Linked DNA regions of Caenorhabditis elegans. The protein of the gene in region 1 purifies or fractionates together with the protein of each later gene. This does not show direct contact. Each region holds a gene or a part of one and is shown in the gene's direction. Other genes may lie near its edges.

Region 1 (3,755 bases):
AAAAAGTTTACAATATGCTAAAAATCTAGACAAACTTTAACTTTTCATATAAATTTGGCGGGAAACTCGAATTTAAATTTTTTTTTTTCAAAATATTTAAACAATTTTTTTTTTCTATTTAGAAGTTCAAATATGAGTTATTTGAAATTTCTTTTTTCTAAAAATTTTGCACGAAATTCAAATTCATGGAGTTCGCTCTGGTTCAGTGGCTGGTCTTCTAATGAATTATGTTTGTTTTTTCGAACATCGAAAGGAAATAAGCGGGACTCATTTCATTGCTTCCTCCTTCATTGCTTCCTCCTTTTCTCCCTTTCGAATTGTACTACGAGACCCCCTTTGTGCATTATTATTTTACCCCCATTTTCCACCCCAAGACAGTCTCAAGTTATAGGAAATCTTCACATGATTTGCTCACAGTGCATGCACACAAAAAGTTATAAGATCTGAAGAGAGACGCAGACAGATTATTCAAACAGCAAGGGCTCCCACCACCGGAGAGGATCTGCGGATTCCGCCGTAATTTTACACTATCCGTCGGGGGCCGGACACTACTACACTGCCCTTTCCGCTGAACAGACGTTTCTATTCGTTTTTCATCGATTTTTGCATAAAGTTCGGGTTTAGTGGGTTTAGTAAACCTAAGAATTTCTAGGTTTTTTATGAATTTTAGGTCCTTTTTTTGAATTTATATAATTTATTTTAATGTAAATACTATGAAATTTTTATTTTGATTTTTTCCGAAAAAAAAATATCAAAAATTCCAGAAATATTTCAGCCGACCCATAGCCGCCGGGTATAGCACTAGAGCCTCACGGCAGTACATATTTATTTAGAAACTCTAGTATTCCACGTGAAAAAATATATTTAAATATACCAGAAATTTTGAAGGAGTTGACGACTACAGTACTCCTTAAAGGCACACGTTTTTCTGATTTCAAGAAAATTTATCGGTTCGTGCCGTAGTTTTTGAGAAATCCGAGTGCCGTAGTTTTTGAGAAAAAATTTTCCTTGTGGTTGCCCATATAATTATTTTCATGACGAAAATCTGAAACGATGTTTTATGGGTCTGCTAAATATTTATCATACCCAACTTTGGTCTGCTAAATATTTAGCATACCCAACTTTGGTCTGCTAAATATTTAGCATACCCAACTTTGGTCTGCTAAATATTTAGCAGACCCATTTGGGATATTGAGTTTATCCTGAAATGATGATTTCCTTTGTTTAAATCCACTCAAATTCCGTTTTTTCTCTGAAATCCTCTAATCCCCTGAAAAAAACCTAAAAATATATTTTTTTTACTATATAAATTCGGATTTTTCCAGAAACCCCACATATTTTCGACTTTTCCCGAACTTTTCCCACTCGTTATCTCTATTTCTCTTCTATTCCCTAGGATATCTCTCCCGCCTGGGAGCTTTTCGAAAGCTCCAGAGCACCTGGGCGGAGCTCCCGCGGCAACTGGATTTTTTACCGTTATTCTTCATTCATTTTTCCAGGACATTAACAAATTTTCTTGCAGTGAAAATTTTTATTTCAAAAAAAAAGAAAAGAAAGTCAATTTTAGGATGTTATACATCTCCAAAATTCGTTAGTTTTAGCTTTAAAATCAAAGTTTTCATAAAAATTAAATTTGAAATCCCTCCAAAAAATAGTCTGCGCTTCACACTCTCTAACACGTGCCGGTGGAGCGCGCTTGCATTTTTCCTTTTTTGTTAATTTTTTTTTGCGGGAAACTTTTCGGGAAAATTACTCTAAAACTCAATAAAAACAGCTTTTAAGTGCATTTTTCTTGAAAATTAGTTTCAAAAATGATATTTTAATCAGTTTTACACCATTTTTGTCGATTTTTCCTCTTTTATCCGTCGAATTAATAGTATCTCCTGACAAAAATAATGATTTTATAGTTTTTTTTTTTTGGTTTTCAGCAATGGTTGCTCGAGTACAGACTGCGGAGGAGATCCGCGACGAGGGAAATGCTGCAGTTAAGGATCAGGATTATATAAAAGCTGATGAATTGTTGGTTTTTCTGAAATTTCAGTGGAAAACTGAAATTAAACTGATTTCCAGATACACTGAAGCTCTCCAACTCACCACTGACGAAGACAAGGCTCTTCGGCCGGTTTTGTACAGAAATCGAGCAATGGCTCGGCTGAAAAGAGACGATTTTGAAGGAGCACAATCGGATTGCACGAAAGGTTTACAAAAAACCTGGAAAATTTGCTGAAAAACCTAAATTTACAGCTCTGGAATTCGACGGGGCCGATGTAAAAGCTCTCTTCAGACGATCGCTGGCTCGTGAACAGCTTGGAAATGTTGGGCCAGCTTTTCAAGACGCAAAAGAGGCTCTGAGGCTCTCGCCAAATGATAAGTGCGTGGAAAAACTAGGCGAAAACCGATGAAAATTAAAAGAAAAATAATTTTTTCTGGCACTTTCCAGTTATATTTCAAAGTTTTTATGACCAAATTTCAGTGAAAAATGCAAAAGTTGCAAATTTTGGGTCTGCTAAATATTTAGCAGACCCAACCTCCCGAAACTGATTTTTAAAGCTAAAAATTATTAGAATTTTCAGACGTTTCTCTCCGAAATATAGCATGCCAATAGAAAAATTGACAAAAATCAAGGTTTTCTCATCGAAAATAGCAAAATAACTTTTAAAAATCTACAGAAACTCACAATTTTTGTTTAAAATGCCAACATTTATAAATTTTCTAAATATTTAGTTTTAAATTTGTAATTTTCTCACTTTTTTCTGTGAAAAAATATGCAAAATGAAACTGAAAAATCCACTAAAACATGTTTAAAAATTTATCTTGAAGAAAAACGTAGGAAATTTCAAATTTGCAGCTAAAAAATCAGCGAAAAAATTTTTTTTTCAAAATTTGAGGAGGTTGGGTATGCTAAATATTTAGCAGACCCAAGGAAAAATATTTAGCAGACCAAAGATAGGTATGCTAAATACTTAGCAGACCAAAGATAGGTATGCTAAATATTTAGCAGACCAAAGAAGGGTATGCTAAATATTTAGCAGACCCAAGGTGGGTATGCTAAATATTTAGCAGACCCAAGGAAAAATATTTAGCAGACCAAAGATAGGTATGCTAAATATTTAGCAGACCAAAGATGGATATGCTAAATATTTAGCAGACCAAAGATGGGTATGCTAAATAATTAGCAGACCAAAGATGGGTATGCTAAATAATTAGCAGACCCAAAGAAAAATATTTAGCAGACCAAAGTTGGGTATGCTAAATAATTAGCAGACCAAAGTTGGGTATGCTAAATATTTAGCAGACCAAAGTTGGGTATGCTAAATATTTAGCAGACCAAAGATGGGTATGCTAAATAATTAGCAGACCAAAGTTGGGTATGCTAAATATTTAGCAGACCCAAGGAAAAATATTTAGCAGACCAAAGATGGGTATGCTAAATATTTAGCAGACCCAAGGAAAAATATTTAGCAGACCAAAGATAGGTATGCTAAACATTTAGCAGACCCAAGGAAAAATATTTAGCAGACCAAAGATAGGTATGCTAAATATTTAGCAGACCAAAGATGGATATGCTAAATATTTAGCAGACCAAAGATGGGTATGCTAAATAATTAGCAGACCCAAAGAAAAATATTTAGCAGACCAAAGATAGGTATGCTAAATATTTAGCAGACCAAAGATGGATATGCTAAATATTTAGCAGACCAAAGATGGGTATGCTAAATAATTAGCAGACCAAAGTTGGGTATGCTAAATATTTA
Region 2 (3,755 bases), on another chromosome or scaffold:
CTAAAAAATAAACAAGCTGTTATATTCTAATTTATATCATTATTTATACCTTAAAAGTATATCTATGAATATTATCAGTTGTGGAACACTCCTCCTTCCCCTCGTTGCTCAAAAATTTTTTAAGCTTGTTCAATTTGCTCTCATTTTCTTTTACGTTTTCCTTAACGTTTTCGCACAGAGAGCAGAATTTACTGAAAAGCCAATTCCTATTGTTAGTTTATATAAATTGCAAACCAACCATGTAGTTTTACCACCGAGCATCTCTCTCAATTGGGAGTTATAACTCTCTGGACACCATTGAGATGGACTAGTTACGTTTGCACAAATGCTCTCAACTCCACGAAGATTTTGAATCGCGTCTTCTGATTTGCAGGGAACGTTTTGGCCAAGTTGCATAAATGCTTCAATGTATCTAGAAGAAAGAATGTACCATTTTTTTTTTCTATTAGACTGTTATCGGCATTGCTTTACTTTGACGGTTTAGTTTATCGAAAAAAAATGTTTTCACTAATAAAGTAAAGAAAACTATGTTATAAGTGTGTTCAGTTCGCACTTTTCATGAAACCAAAAAACCCGGGAAACCCCCGTCGAAGAGGTGTAAAGAGGTGCAAGTTTAATAGGGAAAAATACGGAATCTATTACGATTTTAAGAGATTTGCAGGATTCAATTTTACGAATGAACTCCAGTCTTAAGTTTCAGCTCTAACTTACGGATTCTCGATAGGTCTCAGCATCTTAAAGCTGACTTTAACTCTATAGCATCCAGGGAAATCAATTTGGCGAGTTTCTCCATTAATATCAGTAATTGTTACTTCATCTTTTTCTTCATCTTCTTCCTCTGGATTATCATTCTTCAACATTTTCATTGTGATCTTCAACGAGCTCTCGTCAATAACATCGGAATCCACTAAACTTGGTTGTAAATTAATTGTAAAACCATTTAATTTTTATTTAAAAGAACAAACCATTCGGACAACTTTGTGTGACATTTTCTCTAACTTGAATGTGAACTTTTCGGCATGTTGCCAGTGCTAAAACAGTTAGGAGTAGTATGAGGAATCTGAATAACATCTTTGAATATTCTGAATTGTCTAACAATTTTCTTTTATAGCATTTTCAGTTGATCGTGATCATCTTGACCTAGTTATTCGAACAACTAGAATATAGCAAATCCGTTGTTGCCGGACTATTATTAGAAGAAGAGGAAGCGAACACTTTCCGAAAAAAGAGTGGAATTGTTTGCATTATGAACAACGTTTTTAAAACATTTAACCGGAATTTTTTAGATCCAAAGTTTTTTATTCAGATTAAACAATTTAATTGATCAATTCTGAACTATTATTTCAAGTTTGAAGCTTAGCGTTTTCTGGTTCATCAATTTGATTTTGCAGTTTAAGAAGCAGAGGAAGGGAATTCCCGAAAAAAATGCATTGTTTGTTTTATGAACAACGTTTCTATATAAGTCGCATTGATTGAAAGATTGCAATGTTCAAATTTCGGTTTTTTTTCTTGGACTGAAATCTACCGTACCACTTCCAAAATTTCGTGTTTCTCGAATTATATTTCAGACGCAAATAATTAATATTTCTCGTAGCACAGGTTATTCTTGGCTTTTCGACATAATTTTCTTTCAAATTTTCATTGACATGCTCTCAAATTTCAAAGATTTTCTTCTCTAGAAATGCTCTCACATCTAGTACATATTCTCTCTTCCAGCGAATTTTTCACAAATTTTAAGTGTAAATAATGTAATTGAATTCTGAACATGGTTCAAATGCTTTTTATTTTATAGACTATTTATTACTCATTTTTTATAACTGCTTTAGTGTGCTTTCTTTTTCGCTGAAGAATAAAAAACATTTCAAACTAAATATCTCAAGTAATCTCTATCCACTTTCCGTGTGGTGTCTCTCGAAAACGCAAGCGCGCTCTACGGCTAAAATCGATGCGCTCATTTCTCTGTTTGTGATTCATTTTTGTTCACTCTTTTATTCAATGAATCACCACTTTTATTTTGTCAATCTTTATTTCTTTTTAGTTATTTGATAGAAATATATTTTTAAAATGTTTATAAGCATAACTCTTTCTCGTTCAGAATGTCGGAGATCAGTGACGCCGAAAAGGTCCGCATTGCTTCGGATTTCATTAAACACGCGCCACCCGGCGAGTTCAACGAGGTAATTTTTTGTCGATTTTTAGGAGAATTGCTCGTTCAAGCTTGATATTATAGTCATCAAAAAATTTATATTTCGCAATTCACTTCAATTGTCAATTTACCTTTCCATTCAGGTATTCAATTCGGTTCGGATGCTTTTGGAAAATGATGATCTTCTGAAGAACAAATGTGTTAATGCTATCGCTCAATATAACGTTGGACAATTTGTGCCAGTAAAGTTGGATGGTGTTGCCAAGCAGGTATACTATTTTCATTTTTTAAACTTTCTTCAAATATTTAATTATTTTCTTCAGACTCTGATCACTCCATACAATGATTTGGGTAATGGACGTTTCTACGATGAAGTTTCAAAGAAAAGTTTCAAATACGATCACGTCCGTAAAGAGGCCGCAGATCTTCAACCACATCCAGCCGAGTCTGGAATAACCGAACAATGGCGTCAAGCTCTTCAAACTCAACTCGATATATATATTGATGATCATTACGCGAAAAGTGGAACGGGAGTGGTTTTTGCTCGAAACGGAGTTTTCACGATTTGCATCGAATCTCATCAATTCCAGCCAAAAAATTTCTGTAACGGAAGATGGCGTTCGGAGTGGAATGTGCCGGTTGGCGATGGTAAATCAGGATCTCAGGAGATGAAAGGAAAAATTTTGTCGCAAGTTCATTATTACGAAGACGGAAACGTGCAGTTGTTCTCTGAGAAAGAGCCGGTTCTTAAAGTCAATGTTTCGGTAAATTTTTTTTTCCATAAATTGATCCAATTTAGAAGGATAGAAAAAAAAGTTTTTCATAAAATTGTGAAGAACAAAATAAAATCACAGGAATCATTTAAATTATATTTTTCATAGAGCTATTTAATCGAATTAAAAATTGGCATATAAAGCCCTATTTTCAGGCTGACTTCGACAAAACCGCCAAAGAAATAATTCATGCCATTTCCGAGGAAGAGACTATATATCAGAATGCTGTACAAGAGAATTACGCTAATATGTCTGATACCACATTCAAAGCACTTCGTCGCCAATTGCCAGTTACTCGCGCTAAGATGGACTGGAATAAGGTATCGTAATTTCACAATATTTCGGAATGCCTTCGGAAAAGTGCACAGATTTATTCAGATGGGTCTCGGTGTTTCTTATTTTTCTGTTAACAAATGCTTCGAATCAGTTTTATATCCCTTGTCATGCAGACACAATAAAAAATAATTGTGATTTGAAAACTAATTTAAAAAGAATTTTAACAGAAACAAGAGATGAAGCCGACAAAATTCTCTAAATGCGAAGTAATTTCTTTGAAAAAGATTAAGCAAGGGCTACCATAATAAATCTGTGCGCCTCTACAAAGGCATGTCAAAATTTTCAGAATTGATAAAATAAAAAGAATAAATTAATTTTAATTCAGGCTCAAACCTACCGAATTGGTCAGGAAATGAAGTAATCACAAAATCGTTATCACATCGCTTTGCTTCAAGTTCGTCTGCTGGTCTTCATCATCTTCCTAATCCTCTCCAAAAACCAAAAAATCCTCCAATTTCGACCTTTATTTCTCCCACTTTCCTTTATCCTTTGGCCGGACA
Region 3 (3,755 bases), on another chromosome or scaffold:
AAAATTAAAAATTTGAATTTCGCGGCTTTTTTTTGGACATTTTAGATTTTTTTTTAAAGGAAAAATGTCAAAAATGGCTACAAAATTTGAATTTTTTTCGAATTTATAGCATTTTTGCCGCAAATTTTCGTACTTTGCCACGTCATCATCGGAATTTTCGAAATTTTCAGATTTTTTGGAAATTCCAACGTCATCAGCCACGTAGAGCTCCTCTTTATCCATTTTTTGGGCCAAATTTCGCAATTTCAACGGTGTGGCTCCATATGGATAGGCTCCGCCCACATTTGGAGCATTTTGAGCATTATTCGAATTAAAAACGACAGCCTGGGTGCCACGACGACCATGAAAATGACGTTTTTCGTACGGTGAGATGTATTTTTCCGATTTTTTGGCGAGAATTTCCGGAATTTTGGAGGATTTTGAAGTTGGCGGTGGAGCAATGTGTTCTGGAAGAAAAATGGGTTATTTTTGGCGGGAAATTTCGAATTTTGAAGATCATTTTTGAGAAAAATGTGAAAAGTTGGAAAAACTTGAATTTTTTTTTCGAAAAAAAATTTTTTTTGCAAAAAAATTATCGTTTTTTGGAATTTTTTTAAAATTCGCTCAAAATTCGTAAAATTCCCAATAAAAAGTGAATATTTCGAAAAAAAATTTTTTTTTAATTTTTGAAAAAAAAAAAAATTTTTTGAAATTTTTTTTAATTCTTAAAAAATTTAATTTTTTTCACAATATTCCTTAAAATTAGCTTAAAATCACAAAATTCTAAATTTTAGCGATTTTTCCACCGAAAATTACAGAATTTTAACACAAAATCCGACAATTTTGGTGGTTTTGCTGGAAATTTAGAATTTTCCAGAGGTTTTTCCGTTTTTTCAGGATTTTTTAGAGAAAATTTTCGAAATTCACCAGAAACTCAATGGTAAATTGCCAATTAAAATGAAAATTTTGAAAAAAAAAATTTTTTTGAATTTTTGGAAAAAAAAATTTCTAAAAATTAGTTTTTTGCAAATTATAACTATTTTCTCTGAAAAAGTCCAATTTTGCAAATTTCCACTCAAAATTCAATTTAAACCATAATTTTCATCCGAAAACTTGCGAAAAATCCCATTTTTTCTGGATTTTTCCCAAAACTTTTGGGATTTTCCGATTGTTTTTTCTAAAAAATCAATTTTCCATGTAAAAACTGTATAGTTGGTGTGTTGACAGTGCAAATAAATTAACAATACATGTGAATTTATAAATTTGCATTTGAATAGGAGAAATACCGGGGGAAATGGTTTTTTTTTCTCATTTTCCTCAATTTTTCTCAATTTTCCCCATTTTTTTCCAGTTTTTTCGCATTCCCCTATCGATTTTCTCAATTATCGATTGATTTCCGCACCATTTTCAAGACTTTCAACCCTTTGCGTGGGCGGAGGTGGGGGCTTCTGCTCCAGCATGCCGGAGCACTGATCGAACGCGGCGACGAGATCACGAATTCGGCCGCGTGGCACCGGTTTGCGCCACGTAGCATCTGACGGTGGTGTATCGACGATCGGGTGCGGCATCCAGCGGTAGAACTGGAAAAAATTCGGATTTTTTGTGAATTGTATCGATTTTTCCGGATTTTTGCCCTACCTGACTTGATCCGATTGGCACCGGAGTTGGCGGCATCGATTTTCCGTCGAAATTCTCCATTTTTCGTCAAAAATCTCCGAAAAAACGGCGAAAAACCGTCTAGAAATCGCAAAAATCGATTTTAAAAATTCAAAATTCCATCGAATCCCTCACATCACTGAATTCGTGGCGAGACCTATTTGAAGTTTTGAGCTATGCGCCTTTAAGAAAAACCGTAGTTTTTTCGCGAATTATCGCATTTATGCGGAATTACGGCGAAAAAGCGAGAATAATCGAAGAAAATGCGATAAGAATTGATAAAAAATGATAAGATTGTGTGCATTATTCAGGTGACAGATTGATTTTTGCCCAAATGTTGCGTTTTTTGCGACGAGAAATAATTCATATATTTATTTAGTTATTTTAAGTTTAATTTTTTCACTTTAATAACATTACGCTCTTCAGAAAAAAGACAACATGACTGTGGACAAGGTTAAGCTGGTCATTGGTGAGTTAAACGGAGAATAAAAACAAATTTAAACCAATTTTTGAGTAAAAAATTCTATAAAATTCGTTAAAACTCGAGTTTTTTCTTTTCTTTTTTAAAATTTCTACTTTTCTACGTTCAAATACACCGAAAACGTATTAATTCCGAAGATTTTCGTTAAAACACTGGAAAATTCGAGCTTCCCGCCAGAAAACTGAGTTTGTCATTGGAGCGTGATTGCATTGCTTGGCGATTTAAAAAAACGAGTCTAGACGCTTCAATAATCGATTTTTTCGGATTTTCAGATGATAAACGAGAATTCTAATTTAAAAAAAAACAAGAAGTCTTCAAATTTTCCACTTATTTTCGTCAAAAAACACTTGAAAATTTGAAATTAGCGTCGGAAAACGGACTAGTTCACTGGAGCGCGCTTGCTTAGCGAGTTTTATCGATTTTTAAAGTTTTACATAAAGTTTACCAAATTTTAAGCTTTAAAAACAAAAATTAATCGATTTTCAGACTCTGACGGTGTAAGCGACGACGTGCGAGCCATCTCCCTAGCCTTGCAGCACCCAAAAGCCGAAATTCTCGCATTCACCGCAGTCCACGGCTGTGTGACAGTAGATCAAGCCTGTGCGAACATCAAAAGAACCATCCGAGCCAACGATCGGAGCAATATCCCAGTGTACAAGGGTGCGGCTAAATCGATTTTGTCGCTGCCGAAGGATGATACCGTATCCGATTTTTTCGGGATCGATGGGATCGGTGATAAGCCGGAGGAGTTCCCGAAAGTCGAAAGATCCGATTTTGAGGGGGAGGGGAAGCATGCGTCACTTGCTTTAATCGATATTTTGAGAGAGAATCGGGATGCCACTTTGGTGTAAGTTGAGGCTACAGTAACCCTTCTGTACCCCCACCGCATCCCTACAGTACCCCTACAGTACCCCCACAGCGACCTACAGTACCCTTGCACTATCCCTACAGTACCCCACAGTACCCCTGCACTATCCCTACAGTACCCCACAGTACCCCTGCACTATCCCTGGTACCCCGGACAGTTCCCCTCTAGTATTCACGCAGTAGTGTTACTGTATCCCCACAGTTCCCCACTGTGCCCTTGCAGTAACACTACAGTATCCCTACAGCAACTCTACAGTAACCCTATAGTACCCCGACAGTACCCCAACAGATCCCCTACATAACCCTACAGTACCTCTGGTAACCGAACAGGTACTCACACAATAGTGTTACAGTACCCCTACTGTTCCCCCCACAGTACACACACAGTAACCCTACAGTAACCCTACACTAATTCCACTAAAGCCCTATGGTACCATAACTGTATACCTACAGTATTTCTACAGTACCCCTACAGTATCCCTGGTACCTGGACAGTTTCCCTACCCTACCCCAATAGACCCCCTACAGAAACCCTACAGTACCGCTTCAGTACCCCTACAGTACTCCTACAGTACCCCTACATTACCCCTATAGTACCTCAACATTACCCTTTTAAAGTCCTACGGTACTCCTACAGTATCCATACAGTCCTCCTACATTTTCGCCTACGCCGAGCTATTCTGGGTGTCAAATTTCGATTTTAATCTATTTTTGCTCAATTTTCCCTAAATTTTCAACAAAACCATTTTTCAGAACCATCGGTCCCCTCACA

What was found.
Region 2: the proteins of unc-45 (region 1) and cap-1 fractionate together in Caenorhabditis elegans (co-fractionation; one large-scale study listed by BioGRID). This does not show direct contact.
Region 3: the proteins of unc-45 (region 1) and Y43F8C.13 fractionate together in Caenorhabditis elegans (co-fractionation; one large-scale study listed by BioGRID). This does not show direct contact.

Annotation. Positions count from the first base shown.
Region 1 is NC_003281.10:489,619-493,373, forward strand, and holds the start of unc-45 (UNC-45/Cro1/She4 central domain-containing protein), read left to right. Parts: upstream 1-1,928; 5' UTR 1,929-1,930; coding exon 1,931-2,019; intron 2,020-2,070; coding exon 2,071-2,198; intron 2,199-2,244; coding exon 2,245-2,371; intron 2,372-2,788; exon of another isoform or gene 2,789-3,217; intron 3,218-3,755.
Region 2 is NC_003282.8:7,228,564-7,232,318, reverse strand, and holds the start of cap-1 (F-actin-capping protein subunit alpha), read left to right. Parts: upstream 1-2,095; 5' UTR 2,096-2,096; coding exon 2,097-2,177; intron 2,178-2,289; coding exon 2,290-2,415; intron 2,416-2,469; coding exon 2,470-2,910; intron 2,911-3,074; coding exon 3,075-3,239; intron 3,240-3,580; coding exon 3,581-3,616; 3' UTR 3,617-3,755. Other genes in the region: D2024.4 (DUF19 domain-containing protein), read right to left, coding at 50-191, 239-412, 712-907, 966-1,071. UniProt on the Caenorhabditis elegans protein: F-actin-capping proteins bind in a Ca(2+)-independent manner to the fast growing ends of actin filaments (barbed end) thereby blocking the exchange of subunits at these ends.
Region 3 is NC_003283.11:19,695,705-19,699,459, reverse strand, and holds the start of Y43F8C.13 (Nucleoside hydrolase), read left to right. Parts: upstream 1-2,061; 5' UTR 2,062-2,073; coding exon 2,074-2,104; intron 2,105-2,602; coding exon 2,603-2,963; intron 2,964-3,736; coding exon 3,737-3,755. Other genes in the region: ani-3 (Anillin-like protein 3), read right to left, coding at 134-446, 1,382-1,559, 1,618-1,677.